Drosophila melanogaster: one gene and its partners. The protein of the gene in region 3 interacts with the protein of the main gene of each other region in a pairwise test. Each region holds a gene or a part of one and is shown on either strand. Other genes may lie near its edges.

What was found. The genes of interacting proteins can lie anywhere in the genome.
Region 1: the proteins of CG4956 (region 3) and CG31955 interact in a two-hybrid assay, tested with the Drosophila melanogaster proteins (one large-scale study listed by BioGRID).
Region 2: the proteins of CG4956 (region 3) and NFAT interact in a two-hybrid assay, tested with the Drosophila melanogaster proteins (one large-scale study listed by BioGRID).

What each region holds. Positions count from the first base shown.
Region 1 is NT_033779.5:3,711,381-3,714,625, reverse strand, and holds CG31955 (uncharacterized protein), read left to right. Parts: upstream 1-1,759; 5' UTR 1,760-1,843; coding exon 1,844-2,128; intron 2,129-2,180; coding exon 2,181-2,357; 3' UTR 2,358-2,400; exon of another isoform or gene 2,401-2,472; intron 2,473-2,557; 3' UTR 2,558-2,745; downstream 2,746-3,245. Other genes in the region: CG2818 (uncharacterized protein), read right to left, coding at 135-533; cutlet, read left to right, coding at 3,008-3,245.
Region 2 is NC_004354.4:13,643,457-13,648,178, reverse strand, and holds the start of NFAT (NFAT nuclear factor), read right to left. Parts: upstream 3,001-4,722; 5' UTR 2,622-3,000; coding exon 2,375-2,621; intron 1-2,374.
Region 3 is NT_033777.3:25,775,601-25,780,983, forward strand, and holds CG4956 (uncharacterized protein), read right to left. Parts: upstream 2,706-5,383; 5' UTR 2,630-2,705; coding exon 1,721-2,629; 3' UTR 1,668-1,720; downstream 1-1,667. Other genes in the region: CG17196 (uncharacterized protein), read right to left, coding at 1-606; CG17195 (uncharacterized protein), read right to left, coding at 730-1,581.

The sequences.
Region 1 (3,245 bases), on a different chromosome or scaffold from region 3:
TAGCAATGTTATTGGGCTAGCTCCAAACCATGAATCCCATACGAGTGCATACAAATCAAATCCGATCCCAGGTCCAGCTGGATTTTTGGACTCTACTCGTATAGGGTCGGTCAGTACATAATGAATTTGTGAACCTGTAATTGCGTTTCCCAACGGCGGACAATCAGCTGCTCCGTGCCGGGATCGACGGCACAGACCATATAGCGATATTCCGTGTCACAGTGACGCGGAATATAGATCTCTCCTGTCCACAGATTACTATACTCATTGTCCTCCTCATTTTTGGACAAAATAGCCGCTCCCGAGTGCTGCCAGTTGCCCAGCGCCTCGCAATTACCCACTATGGCCAACTGCTCGTTGGGCGCCAGATCCTGGTTCATCAGCACCCGAAAGGTCCACAGTCTGTTGGTGGTAATGTCGCCAAAGATCCGGCGGGACTCCAATCGACTGCCGTTTTCCGAGGACGCAGGACAGGATGATGGCGCAGCCATCGCATCCTCATCGCCGTTATGTGAGGCCAGCCAGTTGTGCATTCTGTGGGGATGGATAATAATTAATATCTATATATAATCCTTAGCTATATACACTTTGAATAATAGTAGTTAGCAGCAAAGAACTAAACTAATTGTTGAAACTCAGTATAATTGTATTGTATTGCATGCGCACAAGTAATTTATGCCAACTCTCTCTTTTTTTCGAGTACTACTGTGCTCGTTAGCGTATACGCACTGTACTTCAATTATTTTCAGCTGCGGTCACAAGTTGTTTATTGTATCGAGCGCAAGTAATTCGAAGATATTAACACAACATTAATTTCACTTGCAGTCCGCAATTGTTTTTGGTTTCCCTTATCAGTGGATGACGTAAATAAATAACTTGTATCACTTACTTTGCGTTGTTGTGTGCTGAAATAGAAGAATAAGCCGAAATCGCTTTGTTTGGATTCGATTTCTCGCTCTCCTCCACTTTCTCTCTCTTTGATTTTCCTAGATTTTCTGTGATTTTCCTACGCGTACACGAAACTATAACAAACGTGTGCAAATTGAGGAGTCGCCCGATTTTTTGATCATAGCAGCTGTTTTTGGTTTTTGCTCACGGATTTCAGCTAACAACACATGATGTTTTTCTCTTTTCGTGGCGGGGGGGCTTAACTCTATAATGTGGATATAACTTTATATTATCTGAACGATTTCAGCGCCGCAGGGGCTTCCGATCCCCTTGAAACTGTGAGTTGCATTATTTTGTTATCTATATATCCACTGACCGATTCTAGCGAGGGATGTGAAAAGTATTTGAATGTCAAGATATCGATAGGTTTTTGATGAAGTAAATATTTTCACAATGCTAAATGCCTAAAGCACTTAAAAATAGTAGATGCCTTTTTAGATATATACTACATACTACTTACTTACACGCACTTAAAATACAAGTTTTATATTTGATATTTGAGCGCATTCTCACAGGTTGGCAACGCGAACAGCTGATTTTTAGGGTGACCGTCTTCCGCAACAGAGTATCTCACAGTTTTCGAAAAGTATCTCAGCAATTTAGGCAAAGTTTCTGAACTTTCAGTTACTACTTAATAAAAAGTTTGTTGGTTGTTTACCTAGCTCAAGAGATTCTTTCAGATTTAATTTAATAAAACCGGTAGCTTAGGATTATAAAATTAACTTTGACTTTATTTAATGTCCCTCCCGCGCGAATGCAGCTTAGTAAAAATGAGTCATAGTGTTCAGATCTGCCTACATTCCAGAAGCTTGCAGTATTCAGTAGACATCAGTCGAGCGCAGAAGCTCTTCGTGATAAGACGTCTTCAATTCAAATTTTTTTTATCGAACACACCATGGAGGGGGACAAGGTAGTTTTTCATAGTTCTGATCTACCATACGAATATTTATACGACGACGAAAAACACGTTTCGCACATGCCGGATTCCAAATTAAGTGTACGAAATATTTTGGATTCAGCTTACGCTTCTGCTGAAGGCAAAATTATAACTAGGAAACTTTCGCGCAGCATTCCGCCGTATCCGCATGCTGTTCGAGTAAAAAATGGCATTCGTGTTTATGAATACAGTGAGCCCAGAAAACAGAGCTACAAATCAAGTTTATGGAAGGAGGCCTACAATGTGAGTAGGAATCGAAGAACACATGCTGGACATTTTACTTGCTTTATTTCAGATACTCCACCAGCGGTTGGATATTGCCGAGCCAATCGCAGCAAAGGAACACGTGAGAACGCAGATACATCCGTGTCTGCACAAGATCAAAGGACTTCTAGATCCGGAAACCTGCATCAAGTGTCCGCGGTGTCATAAGTCCATTTCGTCCACCAAAGTTGTGAAAAGCTTTGCATAGTGACGAATGCAAGCCACCTTCAACATATATATCTATTATAGAGGTTCAATATATGCTCAAATCAACACATGCATTTATATATATATATAATATAAACAAAGAATGCAACAGCCCTACAGATGAATCGTCATTTTCTTCTGTCATTTTGCTAGCTGTAATTAAAAGGGAACGGGAAATGTGCTCTCGCTTACTGATTATAGATAATGACTTTGATTTTGAAATAAGGAATGCAAAGAATACTCATTTTCGTATTCACTTCCATTTTGGCGGACTTTCTTTATCAGTAAACAAAGTGGAAGAAGAAGAAACGAGAAAGGTAAACAAGTCAATACAAAACAGTTGTTTGGAAAATGTGCCATAGTTACCAAGTGCCTGCACCAATTTTAATATCAAAACCAATTATTGAAACTAGTTATATAAGTATTTTTATTTACATTCAATGCATTTATAAATAAAATAAATCAAATAATTTAAGCTTACTAAATCAATCAGCTTGTGACAGCCATCACTTTGATAACGATAGTTGGCAACTCTGCCATCGAACAGCTGTTAATGTTTGCCATTTTGGCGCGAAAATACCAGTGTAACAATTTGTTTATATATAATAGGATTTTATTAAGTTGTTTGTTGGACGCTCGTTTGAAACCAGTATGGATCAGTATCCGGACGAAAACGAGGAGTTCGAGCTGCAATACCAAGACGAACTAGAGCTGCTGGAGGACTTGCCGGACGAGTTTAACGCGTACGATGGACCGAGCACATCCAAACAGGCCGCTGAAAAGCAAAAGGAAAACAGAGCTCCCGTTGCGGCACTAAGAGATAGCACCCGTCTTGGAAACTCTACACTGGGATCGCCACAGCTGTCGCAGATTACCTTTGGAGCTAGCC
Region 2 (4,722 bases), on a different chromosome or scaffold from region 3:
TCAACTGCCTAAGCTTAATATGCATTTACAGATAAAATAGCTCCTTTCGCTTCCAATGGGAAAACATAGATAAATGCAAACAATCAAATATAAAAAAGTGTCAAATGCAGTAAATGATGACAAATAAAAGGCGTAATTCTAAAAAGAAACCTTCCATAAAAATAAGCTCACAACTATTAAATTACTTTGTCAAATTCGAACGCCCAATTCCCAACGAAATCCATTTAATTCTGTAGAAATCTCCCATGAAACTATGTTCCGTTCCTTAATTCCGGTAAAATCGTTAAACAATTACGAGCTAATTTATGAGATAAGAATCGAGCAAACAATAGCGCCTTTGATAGCAGCAACGAAAGCAAACAAACTTTGATCTTCAATTACGAATATCCCTCGGTGACGTGCGTTGCGCTCCCAAAAAAAACAAATTCGGAAAAAGATGGAAATTATGTAGACATACATGGGTGGTACACAAATTAGGAAGGTGAGAAAATCTGTTCGACTCTTGGCTCTTGTCAAGAGGGCATAGGTACAAAAAAAAATAAATAAATAAATAAATAACACCCACGCGATCCGCACCCTTTTGGCCTAACCTTGGCTGGCAATCAAACAAAGAGGCAAACATTTATTGTTGGGCTTGCGGAACGCGCCCAACTACCTGCACACAAAAGCGGGAACCCGCAGAACGGATCCCGCCAAATGGGCTTTACCTGGCACGGCTGCAGATAAGGCAGATACACGGGTTGGGATCCGTGGCGGGGTGGGTGGTGGTAGATGATACGCGGCGATATGCGCCCATTGTTTCCAAGCAGCTAAACTGTCGTCTTATTACAGAGCAGATACAGATACAGATGCAGATACAGATGCAGATACAGATATATATGCAGATACAGATACAGATACAGATGCAGATACAGATACATATGCAGATATAGATACTAAAGATACTGCGGTTAAATGGATACGTTAACGATATGACAATCGGAGCTAGCCTAAAGCCACTTTCGTCTATCTAGGATGATACACCAGAAGCAGACTCAGGCTTTGCACTCAATTGGCTGACAAAACGAATAAGGTGACTTTAATTCAATTCACAGCGGAGATCAGGGCGAGGTTGGTGTAAAGAATCAACCTGAATAGTTAAACACAGATGTTGGTTGTCTCGGGAATTTGCAATTTCTATAATTAAACGCAGACTCCTCCGGACGAAATAACAGCTTCGTAGAGGTGAATCCAAAACAGATTGTCAATAAAAACAATAAATTAAGTGTATTGAACCCAGCCCACTGTGACCCACTGTGCTCCACCCCCCTAACACCCCCCCTCCCGGTACGCTATTGTACATCCTTCACTACGGTGAAAGATGAGCCCCTACCGGTCAAGTGGATCGAAAACCATGTCATAGCGGAAATGAAAACCTAAGAAGTCGGGCCAATTTGTTCAATTGAAAGTAGATGGTTGTAGGTACTTTAAAATGTTCCACATCTTTAATAGAAATATTCAATTACTTTTCCATGCATATTTTGTTTAGATCGCTCAACAATCACTTCTTCTCCATGCTGATCTCATTTTTGTTACCATCTCCCCACAATCCAATTAGCGGACTGGTCAAGTGGTTCGGGCGTTTGATTGAAATGCCTGCGTCTTGGCTATAGTTTTACTGTTTTGCCAGTAATCTTATCGCTCGGCCAAACTTGGCAACTGGCGAAAAGCGTTAAACAAGAACCGACAACCGACCAAGAAGTAAAACCGATATGAAGGAGCATGGAATTGAATCACCGGAGACAACTGGCGCCTCTCGCGTAATCGGAGATTGGGGACCTCGACATTTTGTGCTTGAATGTTTGGATCTTTTGCTGGGCTGGCTGGCTAGGAAATATCGGCCTGGAACACCCATCCATATCGATTATGACATGTTATCAGAGAGCGGAGGCGCAACAAGAGATTTGTTTTTCTTTTTTGATTCGCCTAAACAACTGTGGCGTGTTTGCCGATAAGCCAGCCCATTAGCATTTGATGTTGGGATAGTACAATTAAGGCGATGTCTGGATTTCGAATGTATGTTTGTACATACATACAAATACAAATTGGTGAATAAAAAACGTTTAACTCTTGTTGTCAGCTGGCATTCCAGCGAGGTCTAACTATCGAAAAACCGTAGCAAGATATTAGAAACTCATAATTTTCGAGAAACGAAGGGGTATATATCTTTATGGGGCACCTATAAAATTGATACAATAACAGAATGTTGGGCACTAATCAAACATTCATGAGTACTCAGAGTGTAAGTACAAGATTTGAACGAACTTTTCTTATGCAAATATCTTAAGGATACTTTCTATTGTATTTCATACTACATCTCGTAACACATTCTTACCGAAATTACTTTTGTAATGATGCTGATAGGCTTGGAAATTTGTGTTGTTATTGCCGCCATTGTTGCTATTATTGTGATGGGCATAGTGATGGCCACTATTGTTGCCATTGTTGTTGTTGTTGGTGTGGCCACCCCCATTATTATTATTATTACTATTATTGTTGTTATTATGGCTCAGATTATGCATTTTAGATGGAATCCGATAACCGGACTCATAATGTTTATACTGATTGTAGGTGAATCGCATTTTGATTGATTTTCACTGGACTCTTTAAATAACTTTAATTAACTCTTATGGCTATTTGTGGTGCAATTAATTTATTTTCGATTAGTGATTGTTCTTTCCACTCTTTCTACTCTCTCCTCGAGTTTCTCGTTCTCTTTTTGGGATAAGTGCTTTTAGTATATTTTATAATTATGTTTACAGGCATCGATTTTGTTGTCTTCCCTCTGACTTGTATTGTTTTTGTTGATTTGGTAAATATTGTTGGCACATTTAATTGTTTCTTTGTGTTTTAAATTAATATTTGTAATTTTGGATTGACTTTGTACATTTGTTTTGTGTGTTGTTGCTTTGTTTGTTGGTAAATTTGCTCTGCAGTTGCTTTAATTGTTTGTATCTACCAGCTATTTAAATAAAAAAAGAAATACAACTTAGTATAATGCATGAGACGCGTGAAAATCGACAGAAAAACGCCCAAACGTAACGTTTTTAAGCATTTTGCAACGCTTAGAAAACGCTCGTAAAACGCACTCGAAACGCTTCGAAAACAGGTTGAAAAATTCGTTGTTTCGTTTTGTTTTGTTTCGGCACTTCGCTTATTTATTTATTCATATGGCCGTTTGGTTTTTTTTTTTTTCTTTTTTGGATTTTTGTTTTGTTTTTGTATTTCGTTTTTACAGCTCGATGCGAAAAACCGAATCCGACTGAGCGATGTAAAAATGTTGCTTTTATACTTTTATACACACATCATCTTTAATAGCCGGCGCGGTTCAAAGTCCAAGCGACAAGAGCAGGCAGAAAATAAGAAGATCGCATTGGTTTAATGATCATTTTGTTGCATATTGATAATGATTATGATAATCGGGGGAGAAGTTGCATTGGGCGGGGGACCTTAAGTGCATTCTTTTTCCCTTTCCCCAAACTGGTTTCGTTGTCCAAGGCGCCTTGAAAAAGTTGAACTCGTTTCTGTTTTCCATTTTTCATCTTTTTTTTTTTTTTGATCCTTCAATAGCTTCCTGGTATCTGTCTTATTATTATTTTGTTTTTGCTACATGATCTTCGTACCCGTTTACAGTTAGAGTTCGGAATCGGAAAACGAGTTCCACACGATCTCGAGATTCTTCCCTGTTCTACTTGTTTGGATGCCCTTTTACTTTTCGGAGAGGAATGTAAAGCCCTTTTCAGTGGCAAGTTCCACAAGGTCTCAAAGAACTACACATTACACGCTTCAATACCATAATGATTTAGGCACTCAGAACTACAATTTATGCTGAGAATAATAAAATTACAGAAATCTTCAACTATGAATGCCGTGATAAGAACTAGTCTCAAAAGTATTGAATACCATTTTACATATTCTATACCGTAATTTACCGACTTTAACAACCGCTTTTCGCTCAGTGCATTTCAGATTTTTTTTTTTTGTACACGAATTTAACGACTAATCGAGGTGACACAGATAAGTGTGTTAGCACCGACGACCCCGCCCCTTCTTCTGTAAGCCCCACCACACCACCGCCTCCTTTGGGCATTGCCTTCAATGGCCTGTGGTTTCGGCATGGATTGGTCTGTACTCTGGTATTATTTTTTTTCGTTTTTTGACAATCAAATGCCAAGGCAAGTTCTTGGCTTGATTAAATGCTCATTGAAATTGTACGGTGTATTTATCAGCAATCGGTTTTTTTTTTTTAATATATATATGTGTGTATGTGCTGTGTCGTGTGTAATGTGTGTAGCGACTATGTAGCCGTTGGTTTTGTGAAAAATCATGATCTTGTTTCATTGACCCACATTGAACGTGTAATAAACGAGCCTCGAAGTGAGCAGAACAAACTAAGCTGATCTTATCTGATCTGCGCGCAGCTCAGATTATTATTCGCTTTTAATTTACGATCAGGAAGCGTTGGGAAATCTGTGAGGATGCTCAGAAATTTCACGGATTAAGGAAACTAGTCTGGAAATTCGAGTTGCCATTGTTTTCCGACAGCAACCAGCTAAATCCCTTCAAAAATCTTCTCGCTGACTTTAATTTAAACATCTTAAATCTTACACAAAAAAAAATCTCTTTGGAAATATGCATTAAAATAAACTATTCAGCGAAATGCATTAAAAAAAGTCCCACGAA
Region 3 (5,383 bases):
ATTGAGAATCAAGCACACGTACCGAAAGTAACTTAAAGATTTTACTGTGTTTCCAAAACCAGCCTTCATTCTGTGCAAAAGATAAAAGCTCCTTCCCACATCAACAAATAGGGTTGCCATGCTCATGAAAATCCCAAATGCCAAATAGAATGTAAGCCAGAAGAAATATCGGTGATTATTGTGTCCGATGCAAGTGGCTGCGAAGATGCAGTGGTGGTCTCGCTTCAAAATGCAGCATTTACACAGTGCACAGTGCCAGGATCGTGGAGGCATCAGTTTCTGACAGATATCGCAATAATGCCACAGGTGCTCCGTTCCCGGTTTCGGAATTTGCCGCTCCTGAGGCAGACTTTTCACTGCTGAGCTTGTACGGTAGCAGGCCAGCAAGTTTCCCAGGATATTGTATGTTGTAAAAATCGCTGATATCACAAAGAACTTATACATAAAACCATCATGCACATCGGGGGCCACATAAAAGACCTGCAGCGTGAAGAAAAAAACCGTGCTCACCAGTAAAAAAATCACTGACAAAGGATGTCCTATGCTCACGGCCTTCTTAGGATAGAGATTGGCATATTCGCGGCACCAATCATTTACGATACACATGATTGTAGGATTTTGAATACAACACCGTATTTTCCACAACTTGACATTAGATGAAAATAAGTTATGATTGGCTTGTTAAAATCGATATATATTTTTCAATAATTTAGTAATACGTCTATTAATTTAGTGAGACTGCTTCATCTGCCAATGTGCACCGTCATGGGGCAAAGGACTCTTCAGCAAGGGCGATATAAAAGTCCAAAGTCCTCGTTGGCCCATTATTGTCTGGCAGTTCTTTCGGAAACCCAGATCGTAGGTGCAATCAAAAATATTATAGTAGGTAGAGTTTTGGCTTAAAATCTGCATTTGATATGCCAACATAAAGGCAGGCATATAGCTGGCGCTTATATTCAAGAGGAAGGCAATGGTCTCAAAAGTATTGCCAGTATAATTTTGGAAAAAAGTCCTAGTTATTAAATTAAAAATCACAGACGAGAGACTCATGAAGTTACCGCCATTCTGCAGGATAAACATACAAAATGTTGCAAAGCTTGTGACTAAGCCGAGCGTTAAATAAAATGTGAACCAGAAGAAAAAGCGTTGATTATTGTGTCCAATGCAAGTGCCCGTGAATATACAGTGGTGGTCCCGTCTCAAAATGCAGGTGTTGCACAAAACGCAGTGCCAGGATCGTGGCGATCTCAGCTTTTTACACGATTCGCAATAGTGCCACAGGGGCTCATCCTCTGGATTCGGGCATCGGGAGTCCTTGGACAAGGTGTTTACCGATGAGCTAGTCATATAGCAGGCCAGCATGTTACCAAGTATGTTGTGCGTTATGAAGGTGACCAATATCCAGTAGAGCTTGTAAGCAATGTCGCCAAACACTTTGGGCGCAATGTAAAACATCTGCAGTGAGAAGAAGAAAGCTGTGCTGCACAGGACGAAAACTATCGAAAGTGGATGCACTATCCTCACAAAGTTCTTCGGGTAGCGATTGGCAAAGTAATGGCAAAATCTATTCACGTAGCACATTTTTTAGGATTTTGAAAACTTCTGTTGTAAATTATAGACTAAATAGAAACATTTACATCACAGAAGAAGAAACGCCAACCCGACATATTATAATAGAATTTATTCGCTATCTTATATTCAAAGTTTTTACAAACAAAATTTACACTGTCTGCTTCTGGAACCACTGAGTGCCATCGGTAGGAAGAGGACTTGAGATCGTTGGAGAGAAAAAAATCCAGAAGCGCCGTTTTCCCAAGACCATATCAAAATTTCTTCTCCAACCAACATCATAGCTGCGATCGAGCATCTTATAGCATGTACTATTCCGATATACCATTATCATTTGAAAGACGAACATGAAGAGGGGGACGCCAAAAAGAAATAAATTCAGTTTGAAAAGGTTGGCGATTGTGTACTTCCATTTGAAATCAGCATCTTGGGTTGTATCCTGGAACATTAGCAACAAAGGATCGACGACCAAAAAGGCCTTGTTTGTCCAATTCAAAATGCCATTGTAGACGAGCGCCTGTCCGCTGCCAAAGCTCAGGTGAAACAAGAAGGCAAGGAAATACCTCTGATTTTTATGGCCAATGCAACTGGCAAAGAAGGTGCAGTGGTGATCCCGCTTCAGAATGCAAATGTTGCACAAACTACAGTGCCAGGACCTCGGTGGCACCAGCTTTTGGCATGTGGAGCAGTAGTGCCACAGGTGAGCCTCACCTGCCACAGGATACTGTCTTTCCAGAACTAAGCTATCGACTGAGGTATTGGTCATACAGCCGAGCCACCAGTTGCCCAATATATTGATGACTGTATAAATTCCCATAAACCAACACAATTTGTGCCATATACCATGGGGATCAGTTATTTGCGGCAAAACGTAGCATAATTCATAGACAAACAGCAATCCAATCAGACAGAGTAAAAATATTGCACAAAACGGATGAAGTAGGCCCATAACTTTTATGCGATGTAGTTGAAAGTGACGATGAAACCCTTCCTCGGCTCGAAAACACATTCTTCTACTCCAACCGCAAGTAGATCTTAATAAAACTCGAAATCGAAGCATTTATAAATGACAGACGTATTGTTAAATTTATCAAATAAATTATTTTTAATAGACTTTGGGCACCAGAACTGCCTTGATTTGGAAATATGTATCTAACTGACATAATCGCATCACCCACTGAATTGTAAAAATCTGGCATTGTATGTATGTGTACTTTGGTGGGTGGTTTCAAATTCAATTTCTTTTCCTTTTTAAGCGGATTATTGCGAAATTACGTTTTATAATTGCTGGCGTCATTTGTGAAGGCAGAAAATTTTTATTTAAGTGGCGCTTCTAAGTGAATTCTACAATTCAAAAGATTTGGCTTATGGAATGTTTTCACCTAAAAGTTTCTCAAATTTTTACTTCATTTTCAAAGCAGTATAGGCAAAACCTTGCTTATAAAGCAAGCTTATAAGCAGAAAATAAATTGAAATAAAAAAAACAATGGAGGGAAAAAGGGCATCAGCATGGCAAAATATGGTATTTTGCAGCAGCTGTATGTTGTATAAACAAAGAGCAGAATAAAAACAACGAGGAATGCATATCAAATACATGTAGGAAACAGCTGGGTTAAGTCGACTTCATCAGCCCAGCGACCGCAAAATGGCAGCTGTCGGCCAGGTTTAGACCGCAGGAACGAATGTTGTCTATTTCGCATAAATTTTTATGAATTATTAATATGAACTAAGCATTTTGAATGTGGCCTGGTCGGGTGGGAAAGCTGGTGAGGACGCGGTTTTTCATTTTAAGTTCACTGAGGTGTATGGCACACCTATTGAGGTGGTTTTTCTTTTTGCCGTAAAGTAGAGTGGCAGTTTGCTTTTCGTTTGCATAAAATATGTACGATGGGGCGGGGCGGGACTTTCCTCACTTCGTGGCTAAATGTGTTTGCCGTCTTTGGCCTAGACCGGAAGCAAACAAACAGCCATTTTGTGCTGCTATTCGACGCAGCCATTTCCGGCAGCCACTCGGCGCCGTCGATGTGTTTGTCAGTCAACCTGTGGCTTGACTTTCCCCCACTTTCGCTTAGCTCTTTCTTTGACTTTCTGTGGGCACTACGAGTCATTAGCATTTGCTTGGTGTAGGTGGAGGGGCATACAAAAAATGAGAATGGCTTGCGGAGTTGGCAACTGCTTTTGGCCAAGTTCTCGCATAATTGCCGAGTTTTGCTGCTAATTTAAGATGCTTTGCCCCCATGGCAGTCAGCTCGCATTCGGTGTCTTTGTTTGATTTCATTACGAGCGGAGACTCTCAACTACAGACAGCTGTGCCGCAAAGTTTTTCGCAGTTAGGAGTTTGCACATTTTGTCTCCCCTCGTTTTTATTTCCCTGGGAAGGTCGGGAGTATTACTGTGTAATTTGCAAGCAATTACCTGGTAGGGGCAACCCACATAACTTTCCCCCATTAGCCCATATCTGCCAGATCTCACGGCGCGACTTCTTGGAATGTAATTGAGTTTGGAAAATGTGTAAAATTAGATATGTGCGTGTCTCAAGCCAGGAAAGCACCTGCGTGAAAAGCCAGATGAAAGTGTGTCTATCCACATATAATCGACGGGGAAATACCGCGTGGTATGAACAATGTTGAGTATATTTTTTATGACGTTGCAATTAAAATATTGTTTAGCTAAAAAAAATGACTATGATTGTACTGAATAATATACTAGTGCTCCCATTCACTTTATACTCAGAGGAATTAACTTACAGAGGATTCAAAATTTTAGCAGGAACACAAAATCTGAGCAATTTCGAATGTCACAAGCTTATAGAATTGCCTTCTTAGTACTCCATTTAATGTTTTGCCATTTCAGGATAAGTAATGATTGTAAGTACTGGCGCACGTGTGCCAGGTATGCCATTAATATTATTCTACGTTGAGAATATTCTTTTTTTAGGTTAAGATCCCTTTCAGTCTCAACCATACTCAGCAATTACTGTGCAGGCCAGGTTGCACACTTTAATTTATTTTGCTATTTATCTAAGCTTGCGGCAAAACATTAAATTAACATATGTGCCCCTGGCAAATGGGATGCTTTCTGCCCAAAAACCTTTATGCTGCTCTGAAGATATTGCATCAGAATGCTCGGTTGGCACCTGGTCTCGATTTATTGTGCTCGATTGCTCCGAGCCAATGCAGCAAGCAAAATTGTAATGAACCATCAAACGGCAATTGAAGCTGTTCAATGCTCGGCGGCAACGTTGCGTATGAGTGATTTCGCAAAAGCGAGCCAGCTGTTCTGCTCGTTCGCAGTGGATGCTTTTCTACGAGAACTCCATTTTGTTGAGTTGCCTCGGTGCCAAAATATGTGTGCCTGTATGGCATGTAAAATATTTGGCACTTGCCACACAAAATGGCTTGTCATTTGGGCGAAATGAGTTGGAAGTTTCACGTAAACGAAACGAAAATTTTACTTTTTTTCATTTCGCCTTTGCAAAATATGTTTTATTTATTATTATTTTTTTTTTTTTTTTTTTTTGGGTTACTTCGTTTTTGTAGCCGGTCGCGACATATTTTTCGCTGCTCATGTTGTTGTTTCATTTTCGTTTTCATAAATTTTTCATTTTGCATGTCAATGTTTTGCGCCTTCGACATGTGTTTGCAATTTGCATGAGGTGAGTTTGGGTTTGGTGGCAGCATAGCGTGCTTGTGTGCAAAAATTGGAACGAACATGGCCTGTGTTTGTGTGCAGGACCTTTTCGGATACAATGTCTGATGATTGATACTCTGTGGGCGTAAAGTATTTACCTTATGTGATTAAAGCTACCTGATAC